7 separate regions of the Mus musculus genome follow, and regions 2, 3, 4, 5, 6 and 7 are each reported to be linked to region 1. Evidence: microRNA targets listed by miRTarBase, many of them from high-throughput screens and not tested one by one. Region 1 holds a microRNA gene; each other region holds the end of a gene's coding sequence.

Region 1 (3,000 bases):
AACTATTTAAGAGGACTCCTTGAAACTCAGAATAGGAAAGTCCCTAGCCCAAGCCCAAGTCCAGAAGCCCAGTTTTCCTCTCTGGCTCTTCACAGCTGCCCAGACACAAGGCAGAAAACAGAGGAAGCAGGAGAAGGTGGCTCCTTTCCCTCCCCACCGCCCACGCCTGCCACCTGCCCAAAGAGCTGTTTCTAACAGACCTGTCACCTGAAAATATTACAAGAGCTGCTTGTGTGTGCTAACACTTGCATCCACGACTTCCCAGTAGCAAGGCTGAGCTGGGCCAGAAGCAAAAGGAAAGGAAAGAGACTAGGTGATGTTGGGCAACCCAGATGCCAAGTGAGCCACCTCATAAGCCCTGAGTGACTCTGGCTATGGGGAAGGGAAGGTACCTTTCTCAGGTACTGATTGTGGTTGCAGATGTCCCTCAGTGGTTTCCAAAGTACGGCATGGCCCAGAGTCACCTGGAGGACTGTTGAAATACACAGTGCTGTCCCCACCCCAGAATTTCTGCATCAGCTGGTCTGGGAAGAGGTTGATGAATTTGCACTACCAACTCCCCAATTTCTAGCTGCTGCTGGCCTGAGACGTGCCTTTCACTCACCCCACTTTAGAGGCACAGGGGTGTAAAGACCGGGATGTAGGGAAGGTAGATCCTTTCTCCAGTGAGGGTAGCCATGGGGACAGCTGGATGCTACCCCCACATGAAGAGACTCCACAAGAAAGATCCCCAAGGAGAGGAGGCATAAGGGTGAGAAAGGAGAAAAGGAGCTGTGGCCATCGTTGAGTTGGTGACACAGGGGCACGTGGAAGGAGCCACCTGCAGCTCAAGAGCCAAGTACTACAGGAAGGGGCCCCCTTGTCCTCCTTTTCTCTCTCCCCCACCCCCTTTCTTTTGCCCACCATGCCCTCTTCCCCCTTAGCCCACCACCCTTCGAAGACTCTGGCTTCAGTTGTTACTCCAACAGGGCCGCGTCTCCAGCCTCCGAGCCACACTGGAGACACGTGCACTGTAGAATACACCTGCGCCTGTCCTGGCGCCTCCCAGGGGAACCTCCACTCCCTGAGGGGGACCCTTGGGACAACTGTTGGCTTCTCTCATCCCTTACCATAGCTGGTCCCCCCCTGGACCTCCCACTCCTCCCCAACCAGGCTGAACTTCTACCCCAGGCACTCCCACTGTACTGACCCCTTTAAAGCCATCCAGGGCCAAGTGTGGTGATAGAGAGTGGGAAGGAGGAGAAGCAGCCAGGTGGGAAGGCAGGGGTTGTTAGTCCTCTCAGACTGACAGTCTACTCTCCAGTCTAGAAGGGAAAGATTAGGGAAATGGAAAGAGGAGGGAGACAAGAGCCCAGTATCGGGAGGAGGTGATGGCCCTGGCCTGGAAGCTTTAAGATGAGTTGAGTTGGGTCAGACTTTGACTTCTCCTCACCCTACCCATCTTCAGTTGCCTCCTCCACACAGTAGGACCACTCTGTCCCCATAGCCCTCAGGTTTCTAACCAGTAAGGCCCAGCTCCCATACATGTCACCATAGTCTCCTCACAATTCCCGTCATCTTGGTTTCCTGTGGTCTCTAACCTTCCTGCCTCTGTGACCATGAGAGTTGAATTGAATACAGTGGGACAGTCACTGGGGACTGTGGTGAGTATCTGTGACTCAGAGCTGTGTCTGGGGAGATGTTTTGGCATCAAGGAAGCTTGGGTACACTGTTCCCCAGGGTGTACAAGAAAGAAGAGACTCTGGGAATCAATACCCCGAGAAAGGGTCTCGGTGAACTGGCTGGCCTCCTGCTCCGGTTTCTATGAGCCTGAATGTCTACGACCCCACCTCTCATGTGGCCTTGGAGATAGGACCAGAGCTTGACCCAGCAAGCCTAGAAGCCTCTGCAAGTCAGACATAATGGTCCACTCAGGAGAAAGGAATGTCGAGTGACTAGCTGGACCAGTGTCAGGAAGGGAAGTATGCCAAAGGAAAAGATATGGTCAGACAAGAGTGGGTGGGTGAGAGAGCCAGTGATGGTCTGCTCACTCGGACCCTCACAACTTGATGGATGCTCCTTCCCGGTGCTGTGTGTCATCACCTTGCCACACTGCCCTCTCTGGCTCCCCCATCAGGCCAGGAGCTTTTGGGGGAAAGGACAGCATCCTGATTGTCCCATAGCTCTTCTGCTCTTAGCATCATCTAGTCTCCAATGAGAGCCCAGAAATGGTGGAGGCCAGCGACCTCCTGAGCAGAGAAGTGGAGTTCCTGGAGGTCCCAGGTGGGGAGACAATGGCGGTCTCTGTATCCCAAGTCTGGCGTGATGAGAGACGTAGACAAACAGCCCACGGAATGAGAGGATGCTTTTCCCTGAGAACTTTTGACAGCATTTTCAAGGTATCTGGCAAGCCAGGAGACCTTCTGCTCTTCAGGATCATCTCCAAGTGGGAAAAGCCTAGGGTCCCAGGAAGAGCAGGTGAGCAGCACCTCTTATTCAAGGACGTCATCTACATGGGGAACACCTGTCTCCACCCCAGTCCTCCTGGGAATTCCTATGAGACCAACGTCTTTAGACCTCAGGTGTCATGACATTGGATGCCCAGTTTGGTATGGGGTGTATGGAAGGTCAGAGGAGACAAAAAAAAAAAAAAATAGCCAGGTTCTCCCCTAAAGGCATGGGGCGAGGCCCTCTCTCCTGTGGCTTTGGACTTCTCAAGTCCTGCTTTGGCCAAGGGATAGACTTGTCATCTCTCCAATGTTGGAATGGGACTGGGTGTCTCTCTCTAGGCCTGGGTGGAGCCTCTTGTCTCCCGCTCTTCCATTGTCCCCTTCCCTCCTGTGCCCACAATAGATAATAAATGCTAAATGGCACTGACTTGACACAGGGCGATGTATGGCTTACAGAAGGGCAGGAAGGGAGGGCTGACCAGGGGTGCTGGGCAGAGAACTAAGTGTCCCATGGTACCTGCCTGGTGGTTGGTCCTGAGTGTCCCCAGCCCTCCCAGTACCTCCCCAGGGA
Region 2 (3,354 bases), not on the chromosome of region 1:
ATTAGATTTCCAGGCTCAGTGGAAAGATGCCTTTACCTGCTGAGCCATCTCACTAGTTCAAGCTTCCTGCTTAAATCTAGGGCCTCCCTTTCCCATCTGCAACTTCTTCTCTGCTTTGTGTTGACTTTCCTGTCTTTCACATGTGGTCCCTCATCTCCGAGGTTCTACATTAGTAGTTGAGCATATGCTACTGGGGTGCCCATCTTCAGCGACTCCCCGGGTCTCTCATGTTTCTTGCTTTTACGTTGACTTCTCGCCTAAGTGGATGTCTTTTTTTTTTTTTTTTTTCTTTGACAGTTCGTTTATACTGAGTTTTTCTATTTACCCTCAGACCATCGTTCGCCACACACAATATGAATGGTGAAAGTATAAATCTTAGTTGCCAGTCTGATGACTTTCTTTTCACGCGTGTGCGCATCTGATTAAATATGACTGGGAATTGATACCGTTTCCACAGCCTTCCACAGCTCATGACTCCTTTTAGTTGTTCTATTTGAGACAGGGATTCATGGAATTGGCCTGACCTTGAATTCCTGCTGCTTTTGCCTCCGCCTCCCCAGTACTGGAACTATGAGCTTGTACCGCAGCACTCAGTTATCATCGCCTGTCTTAGCAGAGTTCAAAAATAGCCATCATCGCATCCCAGAAGTTTCAGCTAGTCTTTGCAAGGTTAACGTTTGTGTCTTTATAACAGGATTTTTACAGAAGTTTGGCCCAGTTTCCTCGATCATCCCCTGATCTCTGACTTCACTTCTTTTATCCTCTGTTCTGCACACCTCAAACCTTTGCTGTCTCTCTCTCTCCTGAAGGCGCTGCGGGTCATGGGAAGAATAATGCGTGAGTGCTGGTACGCCAACGGGGCAGCACGCCTGACAGCCCTGCGCGTGAAGAAGACCATCTCCCAGCTGTGTGTCAAGGAAGACTGTAAAGCTTAGCTCTGCGTACAGGCAAAGGAAGAGTGCTCACAGCTTTCCTTCCCGTCTCCCGCTTTGTGTAAATGTTTTTGCTTCTTTTCTGCTGTGTTTTATTTTAGTTCTACCTCAAGGATGACTCACTACAGTGTTGAAGTGTCCCAAAGGCAGCATGTAAAGATAACGCTAAAGTTAAGCATGGGCAGGTCTTGACTTTCCCAGTTTCCATGTTGTCCTTAGTTTTATGTTTAAAGGGGACACGACTCGTTTTTTCTTTTTATTTAAGGAGGAAGATGTTATGAGTATAAGATAAGCTACATACAATGGTAAAAAAAATATTAAATTTTTGTTGTACTTGAACCAAGAGCATCCACAAATGAGATGAAGACATATTTAAAATGTGAACTACTGTATATTATGGTGAAATGGAACTGTAAAAATTAACTGGGTCCTTAAAAAGTAAATTTTGCTCAGAATTTTAACATCTAAAGAGTGGAAAGGTGGAGTAACAAAGTGACACCACGTTCTCAGGACTTGCTTTCTCTGCCTATTTGCCACTCTGCATCACTACGACAGCTGTCCCTAAGTAGTTCGAAAACCACCTGAGCCATTACTCCTCCTGATACATAACAGAGGTCCATATGTCTCAAACACTGTGAAATGGCCCAGAGTCACAGAGCTCTTGCCAGAGCTGGTTACGAACCCTGTGACAACTAGCACTGTGAAGTTTGCTGGCCATTATACTCCCTTGAATTCCCATAGAGCGTTTCTTCCCAAGTGGGAAGATCAATCATCAGTTATAATATTTTAAATTTAGTCACATAGTGAATGCATTGAGTATTTTGTAAGACCATAATAGATTTTCTAGAATTTCAGAACCAATCTATTAGAATTTCATCAAAGAAATGTCATCATTATCCCATTCGATAATGAAAAAAAATGTTTTCTGAACATTGCCAAATATTGACCAATTATAAACATCCATTTTCTAAAGATGTATGTCATAAGATGTCATTGCTTTTGAGGTTCATGGTTGGAAAGAAAATGACAGAAAGATAAACACGGAAAGAATTTGAGGAGAGTTCAGAGAACTCTCCCGAAGGAGTGTAACCCCTTACTGGTAACAGAAGATCACATCAGTGATTACAAGGCATTCCTGGCCTTTTAACAGGGACCATGCATGGAAGGGTTTGGAGGATCTACCTCTATTCTCCATTTTTGAAGTTCAGAATATTTAACAGGACACCAGATATTTCTTTCAAATGTCCTATAGGCTTTAGTGAAGATGGTTTAACTCAACGTCTTTCAGTGTTCTGAAACAGTTTCCCGAACCCCATTCCTTAGAACTTTCATCTACCTAGAAGTTGTTAGAATGGATGTGCACTCTAACAAGGTCTTGAAAAGTGATATGTTAACATATTCTATTCTTTGATAGTTCTAGCAGCAAAGACACATTCCATGGATATTTTTAAGGGTAAATATTTGATTGTAGCCTTTCTATTATGAGTAAGGTGAAGTTTTACTATCTAGCATCTTCTAAAGCCCAACATGGTAAATGATGTTGTGAAGAATACGTTATGTATCCCATAAGAGGGTAACTTGATGTCTACATATCACTATGGAGATATGCTACTCGATCCATCTCATTTGACTAAGTGGAGATAAGAGAAACAAAAGCTGACAGCTGTGGAGTTTGCATGTACTTCCATTCTCAGTCATGTCCTCATCCATTTATAAGCACAGGGCACCCCATAACTTACTTGCCACAATATTGGGTACAAGAGGGAATAACAAGATAGATAGGTCCTGCCCTCGGGGATTTTAAAGTCTAATTTGGGAGTGGGGAAAGACATGTGAGTATGAGGGAAGCGAGTAAATTGACAGATAAAATATGCAGTGGGATGCCTTTGAGTTCTATGTGACAATGGCTTCTAGAATAGGTCTTAAAATCACTTCCAATTTGCAACACATTTAGAAGGGATCTTTATTTAGATATTACAGCCTAATTATATCATCAGCATCAAAAGGTGCGCCTACGTGAATGGATGTTAAGAAGAACCGTGCGAAGGGAGAGCTGGCTTATGTCTATTATCTTATTTCACAGTTTCTACATGACGGCAATGGAATTATTTACTTCAATGATTGTATCCAGATATCCAATGAAAAAAACCTACTCTATCCTGTTCCATTCACCACTGTTAGGGAAGTATATTTTCTAGATTTTAAAAGAGGGTGTTGTAACATCTTTATTTTGGTCATTATGTTTTATAATTTATTTCAGGGTATATACAAACATAACTTATATTTTCTTGGTTTAGATTTCACAGTGGAGAAATCTGCACATTGGTACATTTTGAGACTTTTGCTCATTATTCTGTTGCTGAACTGTAATCCCTAAGTGAATAATCTTAAAGAGCAGAGCCACAGAAGTAGTCAGGGAACA
Region 3 (3,354 bases), not on the chromosome of region 1:
TCACAGGGTCTGGGCTTTTATTGTCCAATCAGGGAATTCTGGGGACCATTCTTTACAGCGCAATGGTCAACACACTGCCCATGTCCAGACTGCAACCTGATCTTGGAGCACAGAACTCAGTCTCTGAATCCACAGTGCACAAGAGCAACCCCACTACTTATTAACCCACTTTACACGTCAGCATTACGGTAATACATTGCGATGCGAGGCAAGACCAAAAGAAAAACTACAAACCAATGCTACTGATGAGCACAGATAATAAATATACCACACTTAATTAAAAAAAGCCCCATAATATTTTACAGTAAGAAGGTTAAAGTCCTTCCTCTAAGGAACAAAAGGATGCTGGTCTCACCACTTCCTCCCACCCCAACAGGATGTCAGAGAATTTAGCAACAGCAAAGAAAGAATAAGATTTCTGTTCTAATTAGGGTTACTATTGCTGTGCTGAAACACCATGACCAAAGCAACTTGGGAAAGAAAAGGGTAAGTAGTTGGCTTTCACTTCCAAATCCCTGAAGAAGCCAGGTCAGTAACTGAAGCGCGACAGGGATCTGGAGGCAGGCGCTGACTCAGAAGACACAGAGGGGTGCTGCTTACTGGCTTGCTCCCTGTGGCTTGCTCAGCCTGCTTTCTTATAGAACCCTGACCACCAGCCCAGGGATGGCATCAGCCACTATGGACTGTGCCCTCCAGTTGATCACTAATTAAGAAAATCCTTTATAGGACTGCAGCCCAGTCTTAACAGAAGCATTCTCTCAACTGAGACTCCCCATTCTCTGATGACTTGACATGAAAGCAGCTGGCACAGTATTCAAGCATCATATTTAAAAAAAAAAAGCCCTAAAGACTTCATCAGAAATTCATACATGTACTTAGGTCATATCCACTCCCACTACTTCCCTCCAGTTCCCATCAAGACCTCCAAACACATCACATCTCACTAATTTCTTTTTCTCTTACAGAGGGTCTTTCTATGTAGCCCAGGATGGCCTTGAACTTAGACCTCCCAAGTGCTAGGATTAAGAATACAGAACACCATGCCTAGCCTTTTTTTTTTTTTTTTTTTTTTAAATTTATGTGTATACTTGGCTGTCAGTATGTGTTGGAAACCCTGAAATTCTGACCTGGGTCCTGTGGACCAAGCTCATGTCCTTTGAAAGAAAAGCAAGTGCTCTGAACCACTCACCCACCTTTCCAGATGACCCTTTCTTTTTTTAATTAATAACCCAGTGAGTCCAACTAGTGCTTTCCATGTACCCACAGGTGCAGCCATCCACTGGGGTGTGGACAACCCACCCGCAACCCACAGCCCCTAAGAAACGCAATGCTTCTCCCTTCACGGGAGCATTATCTGCTCTTCAGCTACAAGCAGGGCTCAGGGCTCACTTTATCCTTGCAGGATTTTTCACAGGCTTGATCTCATAAAGGTCTCAGCAGGCAACCGTGGCTGCTCTAAGTTCACATGCGACAACCTTGTTATGTCAAAACCCAGTGTTTCCCAGCCGTCCTCTTTCATCTTCCAGCTCTCATGTCCTTCCCATCCACCCCCACCATGTTGTTCCCTGAGCCTGGGGAATAGGGGTTGATACAGATGACCCATCTATGCTCGGCATATTCATTAACTTCGAGGAATACTTAGTTCTTCTAGGTAAGCACAGAGAAGTGTAAACTGAGAGCCCTTTCCAGGACTACTTCATCCTATTTATCTCCTGAGAACTTAGAAAATAATCCATGTCTACACTGACGACACATACTGCTTGCATTAATAAGACAGAATATGTTGACCAAATATGAGGAATGGCAGAATGTACCACTACAAGGAACTTTTCATTGTCATTTTAAAGCATCTAGAACCACACCTGGCTTACAGCTGCTTACTAAAATACCAGCTGAATTAATTACTCTGTGGGGAAGTAATTCTGGCAGACGGAAGGACTTGTACCGTAACAGTGGACTTGAGCACTGAAGAGCGTCATTACTTTATACTTTCCCAAATCATTCATCCATAAAAGCATCTCAAAGGGAAAATGTCTTTTATATATGATGGCTTATGTTGTCACAAGAGCCAAAAATTAACAACCTAGAGGGAAAAAAAGTCTGTAAAACAGTATTTCAGTACAATTTCATTAGTAATTTATTACATAAAATTGTATTATAGTATTCAAAGGACTGTCTTAGAAAATTAAAAAGCAGCCGGGCGTGGTGGCACATGCCTTTAATCCTAGCACTTGAGAGGCAGAGGCAGGCAGATTTCTGAGTTCGAGGCCAGCCTGGTCTACAGAGTGAGCTCCAGGTCAGCCAGGGCTACACAGAGAGACCCTGTCTGGAAGAACCAAAAGAGAGAGAGAGAGAGAGAGAGAGAGAGAGAGAGAGAGAGAGAGAGAAAAGAAAAGAAAATTAAGAAGCACACGTAATTAGATTTTAATAAGAACTTAAAAATCACAGTACAGCCCTTAAAATCAAAGACTAGTTAAAATTGAATGTAGTTCTATCAAGAACAAGAAATTAACTCTGCGTGCATAGTATCACTTAAAGTTCCATGAAAATATAAAATATTTCGATGAATGTGACTATATCTGGGACTAACATCATTGGCTTCAAAACTTGACACTAAAGGAATTTCCAATCTACACACGCTCAGAGGCTTCACCCAGTAATCGCTATTACAATCACCCAGTAAGCTCTATTACATTTCCATCCAGAGATCTTGAATCCTCAGGTGTTCACGCTGTGACCCCCTGTTGTGACAGTGGTATGAAACATCTCTGATGCAGATGAACGAACACTGGGATCTTTTACAGAGCTTCATCTCCATCACAGAGCTGTTCTCTAGCCAAGGACAGGCTTCTCACTGCTGATCCACTGGCACTCTACGGCCTCCAGCTTGGGCAGTATTGTAGGAGTCACAAAGCTTACATTTCATGCCTAAGATATGGAACTGGACTGTGGATCGTCCATTACAGTCATTGCAGAGAATCTGAAAAATGAAGAGGAAAAGTTTTAAGCCTTGTAACTACAAGTGACACTGCCTGATTAACAATCACTTGAAAGTCATATGAAAGATGTGAAAATACACGTATGTCTAAGCATTTTTGAAGTGAAAATGTCTTTTCTCCAGTGAGTATTTTAAAGGTTATTAGGATGGCTTTGAATTCATAAAATGAAAATGTGAATCTGAGCTCAGAACACTCAACTTAAAATAGCTCCTAAAAGTATACATAATACAAGCAAGCAAATTAACATGGATATATTCAGATCTTATACTTATCATTAGGCAAACACTTAATATTTAAAAAACAAAATAACACACACGATGATTTCATTATTTTCACTGGCACTCAGAATTTACCT
Region 4 (3,354 bases), not on the chromosome of region 1:
ACACAAGGTGTGCTAAAGCCTCCCTCAGTCTAGGGACTGAACACTAAAGGGGGAGTACGAATTTCTGGGGTGGGGAGTGTCCGGGTCTGGTTAAAGGAACACCAAGCTACAGGATAACTCCTCTATGGCCTCAGCATTAGTTCTTGTCCTTCTATGATGAACTGTGATGTTGTGTAGTGATGTTGTGTAAATGTCAACAAAATAAACCCTTTCCTCCCCGACTCACTTTTGGTCACAGTGCTTTACTGTAGCCATGGAAAGCCTATGCCATGGTCATCAGCCCCATTGGGCAGGTAGAGAGGCACAGCTCAACACTCAATGCAGACCTGCATGCAGCACGGGGTGATCCTTTCTTTAATCCCCAGGGAACCTTGGGAGGGGCACAATTAAACCCTATTGTACAGCCAAGGTCCCGGAGGTAGCGAGCGGGTGGGTGAACTGTCCAAATCCCCCACAACACTGAAGTAGTAGAGAAAGTCTGTCTGAATTTTCAGCACAACCGATGCAACCATGACTCTGTCTGAGCCAAGGGAACAGAACTTCTGTAAAACCTAGCGTAGACCAAGTTACACAGAATGTTTTGAAGCCTTGGCACAGTTCATCCTCACCCCCAGCCCCAGAGGACAGGCAACTGGCAGACTCCAAGGACAGAGCTTCAAAGACAAAATGGAACACCCCCAAGGCATTATTGTTACCCAGAAATCTTTATTACAAAAATATTTTGCAAGCCAAAAATTTTAAGTTGCAACTATGTACAAAACAGGGCCTGTTTCCTTCTCATCTGGTCTACAGAAAAACAAATCCCACTCCTCACAGGGCGCTTCTGTTCTCTTCTTTGTACCAGGGTTCCATAGGCTTGGGAGCCCCCAGGCTGCCTGGTTAAAGCCAAAGCTACACATCTTCCCTTGCCTTGTTCCTTTCTCCCTCCAAAAAAACTTAAGACAAAATTAGGATGCCAGCGAGGACATTCTTTTAACTCATCTATACACCCGTGTGTGTATACACATGTGATGTCTTTAGGCAGAGGAGAAGGGGGTGGAGCTTTACCAACCAACCCTTTGGAATTAGAAGACAGCCCAAGAACATGGCCCGGACAAAGACAAGTTCTGGTTTGCTGGGCCAGTGAGGCCAACTCAGCCTAACTTCTAGATGCCATTATGAGAAGTATCAGGTCACCAGCCCTACAGAGCTGGGTCCTTGCTGTGCTCCTAACATCCCAGTCGCACCTACAGAAATAGGCAGGTTGGCTCTGCTTACATGAATAGCTGGAATCAGGAATCCCCAGGGATTGGGGACATTAGCGCCTCCACTTCCTGAGCTACATGTTAAGACCAGATAGTCAGGGTTGCCATAACCACTTGGCATTGGGCCCAGCCAGGCCCCGGCATCCAGTTTAAAGGGTGGAGGGTCAGAGCCTCTGCCCAGACTCTCGAGCCAGTGACAGTGGGTGGTTTGCCCTGGCTCACAGCTGTGTTGTCACAGGTATGACCAGGTTCTGTTCCAGTGTGATCCTGCTGAGGTTTGCTGGCAAAAAACGGACTCCTCCTTGCACTGATTACCTCAGAGAGCTGGCCGAGTGTCCCTTCTCTCTGCATGCCTCTGAAGTGCTTGTGAGTGAAGGGGGGCATCACTGACCTTGTCCCCTCAATGTGGAATGGCCAACATTAGGTCAGCATTGGGTCAGACAAGGCTGCACTTACCACAGTAGCCATGGAGGCAAAGGGCCAGCCATGTGGCCTTGTAAGAACAGGGCCTGGTTCGTCCCAGTGACGCTGGGTGCTGGAAGTAGCAGCTGAGGGATCCTTCTTGGTCCTCAGGATTCTGGGAATTTGAAAAAAATCTGTTTCTGCTGTAAGAAAATCCTTCCAGGACAATAAACTGTTAGACCTCAGACTTCACAAGACCCAACCATTCAACACATGACAAAGAGCCAAGATGCTGCTGCTGTTGTTTTAAGGGAAAGAAAAAAAATCAAAAAAGAAAAAGAAATTAAAAAGAAAAGAAACCCAACAACAACTAAACAGCATAAATCAAATTTTCTAACACCTTAGCTTTAAGACTGCACAGTTCACATTTCTCAATAATTTACAGGCGTCCACAGAGCGATGCTGCTGAGTTAGTGCTAGCTGGAGGAAGCAAGCTGGGACTGGAAGGGAGGTGGGGCCACACTGAACATGCCCAGGGAGTCTCTGCTGGTCTAGGAGGAGAGGGTTCCTTCTCCCCAGGGCTAGTCAGCCTGGGAGGTGGGGAGGCCAGCACTGTTGGCTGAAAACTTGCTGACTTCTGGTGTAGTTCTTCCACAGATGGGGCGGTTTGATCTAAAGGGAGTCTGGTCCCAAAGCTCAAGTTGGGTAGAGATGGTGAGCTCTTCTCCACACAGAAGACCAAGCTCTGGAACATCAAGGACGCAACCTGGGGTTGCCAAGACCAGGATCCAGACCCACGAGTGATGGGCCGAGGCACAACACTTCTTGGATTCCAGGCAGCTTTCTCCAGTTCGCCCTCTGGTTCTGCAACACCCAGCCTCCGGAAGAAGGGGACGTGGGTGCCCAAGAGGTGTTGAAGAGCCACGGAGGGAAGACAAAGGCCACCCTTACCCCTGGTCCTAGGACCCGTGCCACCTGGCCTTCTGGGGACAGGATTGGCTGGCTGGATGTCCTCGTCATGGCCACTCCATGTAGGACAAGAAAACTTGTGGGGATGGGGCCTAGTACAGACCACAGCCCCATTCACTTCCTCTGGACCTGGACACTAGCATACTCTGAGAAAGATGGCTCAGGCTTGGGGGCTGGCTGTGCCCGGCTGAGGTGGACCATGTCCAGGTCAGCATAGGTGAGGGTATCCTCTGGCCTAGGCACTTTGCCTGTCTCAATGCTTGCATATTCTGTGTGGTTGTTAGGCTCAGGGGCCCGGGGTGCGGGCTTCTTCTCTTTGGGCAGATTCAGGTCTGCGTATGTGATGTCGTTGATGTCATTTGTGTCCTGGATCTAAAAGACACAGAGAGAAAGTCATTCTGGAGCCCCAGCCTATTGACCCACCAACTGGCAACAAAATCGGCCCACTTCTTTCCCAGTGGGCTCAGCCTTCACTCTGCCAATGGTATCCCATTTCCAGCCTTTCTTCTTCCAATCCACCTTCCTCCTCACAGAGCCCAAAGGGTCTTCTGAAACACTCGGGTGGTTATCACATGTCCCTTTCCAGTCCCAGCTTGCTTCCTCCAGGTTCATGTCACCTCCTTCTTTCTGGGTGGAACCACCTGAAGCTATCCCCTCCCCCTTCCCATATCTTTTCCTTGTCCTGGATCACCCACTCTCACCTCTCCCACATAAGAGACCCCAGTGAACCATGTACAAT
Region 5 (3,354 bases), not on the chromosome of region 1:
AGACACATTGCACATGACCAGCAAGAGGAAGACGCCGCCACCTAATAACCTAACCATGTTCACTGGGAATGCCTACATGGTGGCTTCTCGAGACTTCATTGAACACGTGTTCAGTAACTCAAAAGCCCGGCAACTGATCGAGTGGGTAAAAGACACCTATAGTCCCGATGAGCACCTTTGGGCCACCCTCCAGCGTGCCTCGTGGATGCCTGGATCAGATCCCTTGCATCGAAAATTTGACCTGTCAGACATGAGAGCCATTGCGAGACTAACCAAGTGGTACGACCATGAGGGAGACATTGAGAACGGGGCACCTTACACGTCTTGCTCAGGAATCCACCAGCGGGCTGTCTGTGTTTATGGGTCAGGGGACCTGCACTGGATACTTCAGAACCATCACCTCTTGGCCAACAAGTTTGACCCAAAGGTGGATGATAATGTTCTTCAGTGTTTAGAAGAATATTTACGTCACAAAGCCATCTATGGGACTGAACTATGAGACACTGTAAGACTATTGTTACCTGTGTGGCAAGAAAATGCCAGGACCTACTGGGGCAGTGTGGGGTAGATAGCTGGGGCTCTAGACTCCATGTGTCCCTTAGGATGAGGGGGCTGCTATTGGACAGCGGGTAAGTAGACCTCTGCTCCTTGTGAGCTGTCGCTGGTGAAGGTGGCTATTCTCCAGCTCCCTCCCCAACTTCTTTGGCTTCCTCGCAGAGCTAGAACATGAAATACTGTTACTTGGGATAATAAGGGAGGGGACATGTGACCAGGGACCCTGGATTTTGGCTGAAGACTTCCTGTCAGGTTCTCTACAGAGACTTTGTTTCAAATACCTCTGGGGGGTTGGTCTTGGGTGGGGAACTTTAGTGCAAAGAGCCCCCCTCTTTTATATTGTTAATTTAACATAAAGAGCTTCTAAACCAAAGCCCTGCCCCTCCAGTGTCATCTGTGAATCCAGAAATAATGTAAGCAGGAAAAATATGTGAGGCATTACTCGTGTGCTGAGGACAGTTAGTGTCTGGTGGCTGGGAAGAAGTCTCCGTAGCAAGCCGAGTAGAAGGCAAACCGAATCACAGAGCTAATTCTCTGTTACTGAAAGCCTTCCTAGTCTTGCTTTCCTTGGTAGATTCTGAATTTTCCATGAGGGGAAGAACAGAGTGATTGGACTGGTTTGCTGAGTATGTGCTTAGCTTCACGGCCAAAGCTCAGCATCCCGTGCCCAGCAGCCAATCTTACTGGAGCTTAGTTTGGTTGGGGGTAGAGGTGGCGCTGTTAATCATTAGGTCCGGGAGTGAAAGGAAACGGTTTTGCTAACCTAAGATGCCTGAGAATTCTGTTTAAACCTCTTGAATGAAAGCTTCTTTATTTCATTGTGTGAATATCAGTCTCGCTGTTTGCCACTTTGTAGATTGTGCCATTTCCCTGTGGGGACACAGTAAGGTGTGTAAATACATATGCACAAATGCTAAACTATGTACATTTACAGGCACACACTCCCCAGTGAAATCACCTCTTCTCTGAAAACCCAGAGCTAATTTTTGGCCTGTATGCATTCCAGTCTGTAAGGAGCAAGGGGCGCTAAAAGCAGAACCTTTGACTATGGTTTAGCTGGCTTCCTGTGTCTATGTCCCCGAAGAGGGGGTTATGTACGAATTAACTTGTGTAATTTGAATGAGGCTCCCATCAATGTGTTAGAATGCTAACAGGTTTCTCCGTTTCAATTCTTGATCCAGTTAAGATTTTCTCTCTACAGTCAACTTTTATTGTAGCCTTGTCCCTTTAACAGTTACTGTGTGATGGGAATGTCTTTTTTTTTTTTTTTTTCTTTTTGATTTCCGGGCAGGGTTTCACCCATATAGCTCTGGCTGTCCTGGAACTCTGTAGACAGGCCTGGCTTCCAACTCAGAGATCCACCTGCCTCTGCCTCCTCAGTGCTGGGATTAAAGAGATGCACCACCATGCCTAGTGGAATTTCTATTTCAAAGTAAGCAACTTCCTTTTTTTTTTTTTTTTTTTTTTAAGATTGGCTTCTGTGGGTAATGGGCATTGTCACCACAAACTTACCCAACACAGCAATATTGAGTCCTTGCCCGCAACCTTACCTCAGAGGTGACAGTGCCATGAAATCAGAAGTCTTCAGAACCCTTCAGCCAGCAGCTGTGACTATTCCTGGCCCTTCCCTCAGGAGGAAAGAAGAGGGGCTGCTGGCCTGTGGGATGTGTGTAGAAACACCTCCTTAAAGACATATATCCTGAGAAAAGAAGCCAGATTCTTCATGGTCAAGTTTTCCCCAAAGCTTTTGTAATAAACTGAGCAGTAGCTTTCCATAGAAAAGCTATCGGGTTGTGGCTCTGTTAGGTTTTGGGAATTTTCCCAACCATTAAAAAAATTTTTTTTTCTAGAAAATGTGTTGGGTGGATGAAAGTAGTTTGTTCAATAGCATGAGGTCATCCAATCAGAAGGATCACGCTTCGCCTGGTTTGTTTAGTGTACATTCAAGGTCACATAGGCAACCCAGCACATCTGTTCATCTTTCCCTTTTGAGGCTTCTCTGTTTCATTAACCCTTCTCTGGAAAGGAAAAGTCCCGGAAACAAAGCAAGCTGTTACACTTGGCCCACCTTCCAAGGCTTAAGTTTCCTCCTTATTTTGATGCATGGCCATCACTGAACTGTACTTTATTTTATTTTTTTGCTGCTCATTCTATCTGTTCTTGGTTTAGTGAACGTTTACTAAGAAAAGAAAAAGCAGTTGTTAACTGTGGGGCATATAATTCAGATGAAGAGGTCAGATACACTGTTTAAAAATGGAGAGACTAATATCTTGTCTGCCTTAAAACGCCTTCACTGACCAAACCAAAGGTCTATCCTTATGTATCTCGCTCATTTGGAATTTATTGCAAAGGTAGAATAAGAAATGATTGTTCATCAGTCTTGATGTGCTGACAACTAATAAAACAATTCATTCCACACACGTGAGCGGAGTTCTTGGTGCTTACCACACATTGTGCTTAATTTTTTTTAATTACATTTATTCATTTGTGCATGGAGGGAGGCCTGGCAGGACACACACACGTGTGATGGCTTGGGTGGTAGTCAGGGGACTGTTTTGGGGAACAGTCACTCTCCTTCCACTATGTTTGCTCCAGGATTGAATTCAGGTTACGAGGCAGGCTTCGTGGCAAGATCTGATCAGCCACCTTGCTGACCCCACACATCGTTATTGACACTGGGAACACAATAGTCATCAAAATGTGAAAATTCCAACACTCACATTATTCATTATTCATTAAAGCGCCAAGTGCTAGAGAGAAATCGCAGAGGGGATGGAGACCTTGGGAGAGTAGGGTGCA
Region 6 (3,000 bases), not on the chromosome of region 1:
ACTTTGTCTTCTCTGCCATACTGTTAGCACTGTTCTCTTCCTGGGAGGTCTCTACAGAGCCTTCTCATCCTTTTCCCTCCCCAGCACAGAGCTCTGCACTTATGTGTGTTCCTGTGATGTTTGTGAAAATATTAAGGGTTATTGTGAAGTGGGAGGTATGGCCAGCTTTCCTGCCACATCACATCTCTTTACACTTATGTGAACTTATTTCACATGCATGTATACACACGACCTGTGTGCCCAGAGGAGGGCAACAGATCCCCTCCATAGACATGCTAGGAACTGAACCTGACTACTCTGTGACCAATGATCTCTCCACCTCCAGCATCCCTCTCACAGCTGCCACCTGTTCACCAGAGGAAAAATCAATTAGCCTGCAACAGAGCACATCTGCCTATACCCACTCGCTATCCTACGACAAATAGCTTCCTGACAGCTGGTTTACTTTGCCTTCATTCGATTTAATTTTCAAACCAAACCTTAGAATGACAATTGATCGTCGGAACTAGAACCATGATGGTATACCACCTGCCATGGAAATGGCACCAAACATTGGGAGAGAGAAGGTTTCACAAAGGATCAGGGTTAAAGGGTGAGTTGCAATGGAGCCATAAGCCACACTCGCACAGGGATATTAAGGGCAAATCTAAAATTCCTCAGAGCCAATGCAAGTGGTCAAGAACACAATGCCAAAGGGACCTTACTTTTTAATAAAAATATTTTATTAACTACCTAATACAAAGTGATAGGTTTCATAAGTATATTAGGATCTTAAGAATTCCATATACTCGAGCGGGGCCAGAGCAGGGCCAGAAGCAAGCAGAGGTCCTGAGTTCAATTCCCAACAATCACATTATGGCTCATAACCATCTGTACAGTTACAGTGTACTCATATACATAAAACAAATAAATCTTTAAAAAAAAGAATTCCATTAAACAAGACAGACAGACACTTCTGCAGACATAGCTTATTTAGTCCAACAAACTTGGTTTGTATTTTTTGTACAGGGTTTTGCTGTGTAACCAAAGCTGCCTTCACACTCTCATAAGCCAGGCTGCCTTGAATTCAGAGGTCCTCTTGCATCAGCATCCCAGGTACTGTGTATGTATTTTCATCACATATACATTATAAGGCCCATCTGCTCATTGTCTGTGTGTGTGCCACTAGTGGATCTTTTGGTTTGTTTTTTTGCTCTTTTTTGATATAGGGTCTTACCATATAGCCCAGGCTGGCCTTGATCATGATTCTCTCCAGACTCCCAAGTGTTAGGATTATAGTAGTATACCATGATGACTGGCATGGGTGAATATATTTTATTAATGAAAAATATATTTTATTAATGAAAAATGGGGTGGAATACTATGCATTTTTGAGTAATATTGCCTTGAGGAGGAGATATAATTTAATTTTCAAACTACATTTTAAAATAGTGTTAAGTAGCCAGGCAGTGGTGGCGCATGCCTTTAATCCCAGCACTTGGGAGGCAGAGGCAGGCAGATTTCTGAGTTTGAGGCCAGCCTGGTCTACAGAGTGAGTTCCAGGACAGCCAGGGCTACACAGAGAAACCCTGTCTCGGAAAACCAAAAAGAAAAAAAAGTGTTAAGTAATTAGGACTTAATTTTTTTTTTATGTTTATGTATATCTTTATATCTATATATGCCACATGTGCTAAGGTACCCAATGAAGCCAAAAGAAGGTGACAGATCCCCAGGAGCTGTTATAAGCAGTTGTGAGCTGCCTGATGTGGGTGCTAAAAAGTAACCTCTATAAAAGCAGCAAGCATATTAAACTACTGAACCATCTCTCTGCAGACCATTTCTGAAAATTTTATGTATTTTGTAACATGTTATGTATGAGCTCAAGTGAAGGTAAGAGGCCAACCTTCAGGAGTGTGTTCCAGGGATGGAATTCAGATCATCATGCCTGGCAGCAAGTGACTTCATTTACTGGGCCACTTGCTGGCCCTGCCCTGTTTGTGCTTGAGGCAGAGTCTCTCTCTACACAGAAGAGGCAGGCCCTCAACTTTCCATCCTTCTTCCTCAGCCTCCTGAGTGCTGGGATTACAGGGGTGTGCCACCATGTAAGGTCAATTCGGTTTTTAGTTAGTGATATCTTTCTAAAGTAAATGCCTCACTATTTAAGCTATAACACTGGAATACCCATTAAGAATGGCAGGCTTTCCACACATGACAATATCACTTTATACAGAAGGAGAATACATGTTTAGGCTTTCTTTAGCAGGAGTGCTGGTAACTGGATTTGAGCATTGGCGTGTTGAATTTCATCATTGGAAAACCTAAACTGAACACTTTTAGGATCATTATCTAACAATTTTTTTTTTTTTTTGGCAGAGGCTTAAGACATACACTGGCTTCTAACAAACTGAAAAAAAAAATCCACGTGCCGGGAAGGGAGCTCACTGCACACCACAGGGCCCTTAGAAACCGAAGCACAAGGCGACGCATGGGAAACTTCAAACAGGCAGCTTCAAGATAGACTTAATTTTTCATGATTCTCCCAAAGCCAGTCATGGTATTTATTTAACTTGTGGTCTTCAGGGTGCACCTGGAAGAAATGCAACATTCAGCCATAGACATGTTTAAAGGTTTAGTGAGGGGGTTCATCATGATAATATACCTGAGATAAACGGGACATGGAACCCCACAGCATCCAAGACTGTATATAGTTATACCTTATACAACAGATATCCTACATGGATTACAAAGTGCTCTCCAGTTCAGAACTAACCCAGACCTGGAGCAGAAGGCAGCGATGATTAGAGACCCTGTGAAGCTAACCAATGGCTCTGGTGGTGAAGGGGTAGAACTGTGGCCCTTCAGTCTGGGTTTCTCTAGACATCACTGACTTAACGCAGGGCCATACTGTGAGGAGGCAGTGTGCCAAGCTACCCTCCAGCTGTCACACTGCCATCAAAATGTACCAGTGTTGGGACAGGAACAAAGGAATGGGTAGTTTTAATAGGACCCAGATGCCACATT
Region 7 (3,354 bases), not on the chromosome of region 1:
AGTCAGATGCAGGGACCTATTTTTGCCAGACAGTAGAACACAATTTTGTCCATACTGTGCGTAAAATCACCTTGGAGGTGGTCGAAGAGCATAAAGTGGAGGGCATGTTTCATAAGGACCATGAAGAGGAAAGACATCACAAGATGCCCTGCCCTCCCTTAAGCGGTATGTCTCAGGGGACAAAACCGTGGTACAAGGAATTCTTGCAGCTGATTGGCTACAGCAACTTCCAGAGAGTGGAAGAATACTGCGAAAAGGTGTGGTGTACAGATAAGAAGAGGAAAAAGCTTAAAATGTCTCCCTCCAAGTGGAAGTATGCCAACCCCCAGGAAAAGAGGCTTCGCTCTAAAGCTGAGCACTTCCGCCTGCCCAGGCACACGCTGCTCTCCTGAGGGCGCCCTCTGCCGGCGGCTGAGGAACCTAGGATGGAAACATTTTTTTAAAGGGGGGGAAAAAAAAAAGACTGAAAGCATGCAGTCTCTTTCCATTACTTCAAAGAACTTTCTGTAGTACTGAGAGGCTGGGAAGGTGTTTTAAGTTATTCTGCATATTCATCTGACTGTACAAACATCTCTCTCACAGTACTAGTACTTAAACGAGTGTATTGCTTTAAAAGGCTTCACGTATTTATCAACATATGATCGGGCTGTAATTTTGAGCTTGCTTTTCAGGGAAATTATTTTGCCATTGGGATATGTATTATAATTATAATATTAAAGAAAAAGTTATAGGTTTTCATAATCAAGAAAAATGTAAAACTCTTTCTGGAGTTTTTTCTTTTTTCTTTTCCTCTTTGCAGCCATAAGGTAAAATATACAGAATATCAGATATTGTAGAATTATCGTGTGAGCTTTCTGGTCAGTTGTTGATTTTTTTTTTTAAGCCATAAGTTGTATGTAGCTGTGTTGTGGTTGCTATAAACTGTACAAGAAATCTGCAACCCATCCATTCTGAGGCTTGTTCTCTTCATGAAACACTCACTAAACTATATTAAGAATATTTCTGTTTTATAAACAAGACATATCTTTTAAATTTCACTTCAGTGTGGAAGGATGGAAGATAGCCTCTCAGAAAGATATTTTTAAATAGTTTCAAACCATGAAAGTAGAATTCTGTTAAAAAGGTCTGTGCTTCCCTCTTGTGGTACAAGAAGGCATTGCATCTCTCAATGCTGTTTCCATAATTTTCCTGCAATGACTTGAAAACAAAATGTAGTAGATACATCTAGTTCACTATTCAGAAGACTCAATTAAAAAATAATTTTATATAATAATTTAATATGGAAATAGCATGCTTCTGGTTAATTCATTACTTCACAACACAACGAAGATGTTAACTGCATTTGAGCTTTGAAATAGAAGAAAGTACCTTTCCAGTCCTACCCTGAGACAAGACACTCTGAAAGTGTGCTTTACCCGCAAAGAAATTATCAAAGCATTCTTTCTCAGAAATGAAATCTTCCTATTTTATATTTACTTCTTGGATTCGTTTTACTACTGACATCTTTAGAGAATCATTATCTTTGTCTTATGAATATAATCAAAATTTATATTTTTCAGAATGTTTATTTCTTGAGATTTTTCTTCTCTGTATTTTAAAGAGTTAGCAGCTTCCGTTCTAAAATATGATTTTTATGAGGCTTTTCAGTTCGGTAAGAGTAACGCAAGTGGATTGTAATAAGAACAATTATGAATACGTATTCAGACTTAAATTTAACTATTATGTCAGCTATCTCAGTATGCTATATAATTAAGAATATAAAGTGTTGAGAACTTCTAATGGATTTCTTTTTCTGTCTAAAATTAGTGACTACATAAATATTCCACAATTTTGAAATTTTAAAATTTTGGAAATTTTAAAGTCCAGAATTTCTAAAACATATAACTAGTATGAATAAAGAGAATGTTGACATCCTCTGAAAGTCCACACGTTATTGACTGTAGAATCCACTGTGTGCCATTGTTCTCCAGCAATAGTAGTTGGCAAAAGGGAGTATTCAAAACTTTTAAAATACTGTAGTTTATGAACACAAAGGGGGGAGGGAAAATTGGGGAATTAAAACCAAAACCACATCACTAGTTCCTAAGGAAAGGATATGTCTGCAATATTACAAGAGAGCAGAAAAATCTATGGAGAAGTTTTTTTTGTTGTTGTTTTGTTTTTGTTTTTTTGAGACAGGGTTTCTCTGTATAGTCCTAGCTGTCCTGGAATTCACTCTGTAGACCAGGCTGGCCTCGAACTCAGAAATTCACCTGCCTCTGCCTCCCAAGTGTTGGGACTAAAGGTGTGTGCCACCACGCCTGGCAGGAGAGGTTTTCAAATGGCCCTTCCACTTAGCAAATTACAGGTAAGGGGAGAGTTTTATCTTAACAAATAACATAAAATAAAAACAAATTAAAGTTAAAAAAAAAAAGGAAATCAGACATCTATGAGTACATTTTAACCTTAACTCTCTGACAGGCAGCTAAAGAGGAAATGATCTTGTTGTGAGCTAAGTAGAATTCAAAGAATATTTTTTTTACAACTTGAACAGTAAATGCAAATAAAGACCATTGAATTAAAAATCAGACATTAATCAAAAAGTAACCTAAAATATACTGATTTAAATAAACATGATAAAATTTCAAGGGCTTGGATACAACTCTAGGGAGAGCAGTAAATTATATATAAATATGTATTTATATATACATATTGTCATGTATTATACATCCTCCTGTACACCCATTTCTGGTAAGAAAACTGGGAACAGACATAGACAGGCAGCCAGAGAGACAGACAGACTGGGAGTGAGAGAGAAAGAGAGAGAGAGGGAGAGAGAGAGAGCGAGCACAGGTTCCCAGGGTATAACTGATGTACCACTGTCTCTGTCCCTCTTTCCTCTGACCATTCTTGCATGTAGATCTCCAAGAAGTATAAGGTGCATCACTAAGCCCTTTCAGAGTTCATGCCAACAGAACACAAATCTACAGAAACAAAAGTGTTTTGAAAATCTGAACCCTGCTACATAAGCATCACCAGTCTTTTGTTGGGCCTGTGGGGTTAAAATTCAAGACTCTCCTTTGAAAAGAATTCTTCTGAAGAAAGCCATGATGATTCCACCATAAACTCAGGTATCTGTAGGACTCTATAAAAGTAGGAGCTCACCTTGAGATGTCCAGACATGACCTTGGCAAACAAAATATATCCCCAAAATACATAGCACACCCAAGAACCTAGCCTCCCATTATTGTTCCAAAGAGGCCCTTCTGTATAACTGGTTTCCTGCTTCTCCAGGTCTCATGGTATCATCTAAAACAAGTAGCCTCTCCCTCAACATAACACAAACTGCCTCGCTACAGAACCAGGCACAGGAAG

The links. The annotated mature microRNA mmu-miR-139-5p reads UCUACAGUGCACGUGUCUCCAG and lies in region 1 at 996-1,017, opposite strand. An mRNA with a match to its seed (bases 2 to 7 or 8) in the 3' UTR can be bound and repressed. Matches are read on the target gene's strand: a 7mer-m8 pairs with bases 2 to 8, a 7mer-A1 pairs with bases 2 to 7 and ends in A, and an 8mer does both.
Region 2: miRTarBase lists Acvr1c as a target of mmu-miR-139-5p. The part of its 3' UTR that is shown has no 7-base or 8-base seed match.
Region 3: miRTarBase lists Rchy1 as a target of mmu-miR-139-5p. Seed matches in the 3' UTR shown: 7mer-A1 at 2,278-2,284.
Region 4: the mRNA of Sirpa is a reported target of mmu-miR-139-5p. Seed matches in the 3' UTR shown: 7mer-A1 at 786-792.
Region 5: miRTarBase lists Gcnt3 as a target of mmu-miR-139-5p. Seed matches in the 3' UTR shown: 7mer-A1 at 1,882-1,888.
Region 6: miRTarBase lists Mbd4 as a target of mmu-miR-139-5p. Seed matches in the 3' UTR shown: 7mer-A1 at 1,524-1,530.
Region 7: miRTarBase lists Sema3e as a target of mmu-miR-139-5p. Seed matches in the 3' UTR shown: 8mer at 1,937-1,944, 7mer-m8 at 2,013-2,019 and 7mer-A1 at 2,217-2,223.

Annotation. Positions count from the first base shown.
Region 1 is chr7:101,473,399-101,476,398 of GRCm38, reverse strand. Mir139 (microRNA 139) reads right to left here and starts at 1,023; the gene lies at 956-1,023. All of the region lies in intron 1 of Pde2a (phosphodiesterase 2A, cGMP-stimulated), which reads right to left.
Region 2 is chr2:58,272,499-58,275,852 of GRCm38, reverse strand. It overlaps Acvr1c (activin A receptor, type IC), which reads left to right. Exons shown (of 9, transcript NM_001111030.1): 9 at 810-3,354. The coding sequence ends at 935. Among named protein-coding and RNA genes, the nearest start is that of Gm13544, 2.6 kb to the left of the region's middle.
Region 3 is chr5:91,946,885-91,950,238 of GRCm38, forward strand. It overlaps Rchy1 (ring finger and CHY zinc finger domain containing 1), which reads right to left. Exons shown (of 9, transcript NM_026557.4): 9 at 1,958-2,980. The coding sequence ends at 2,852. Among named protein-coding and RNA genes, the nearest start is that of Rchy1, 15 kb to the right of the region's middle.
Region 4 is chr2:129,629,560-129,632,913 of GRCm38, reverse strand. It overlaps Sirpa (signal-regulatory protein alpha), which reads right to left. Exons shown (of 9, transcript NM_001355158.1): 9 at 686-2,987. The coding sequence ends at 2,730. Among named protein-coding and RNA genes, the nearest start is that of Sirpa, 38 kb to the right of the region's middle.
Region 5 is chr9:70,031,116-70,034,469 of GRCm38, reverse strand. Gcnt3 (glucosaminyl (N-acetyl) transferase 3, mucin type) reads left to right here. Exons shown (of 3, transcript NM_028087.2): 3 at 1-2,974. The coding sequence ends at 499. Among named protein-coding and RNA genes, the nearest start is that of Gcnt3, 5.3 kb to the left of the region's middle.
Region 6 is chr6:115,839,997-115,842,996 of GRCm38, forward strand. Mbd4 (methyl-CpG binding domain protein 4) reads right to left here. Exons shown (of 8, transcript NM_010774.2): 8 at 701-2,566. The coding sequence ends at 2,489. Among named protein-coding and RNA genes, the nearest start is that of Efcab12, 3.1 kb to the left of the region's middle.
Region 7 is chr5:14,252,399-14,255,752 of GRCm38, forward strand. It overlaps Sema3e (sema domain, immunoglobulin domain (Ig), short basic domain, secreted, (semaphorin) 3E), which reads left to right. Exons shown (of 17, transcript NM_011348.2): 17 at 1-3,354. The coding sequence ends at 392. Among named protein-coding and RNA genes, the nearest start is that of Sema3e, 230 kb to the left of the region's middle.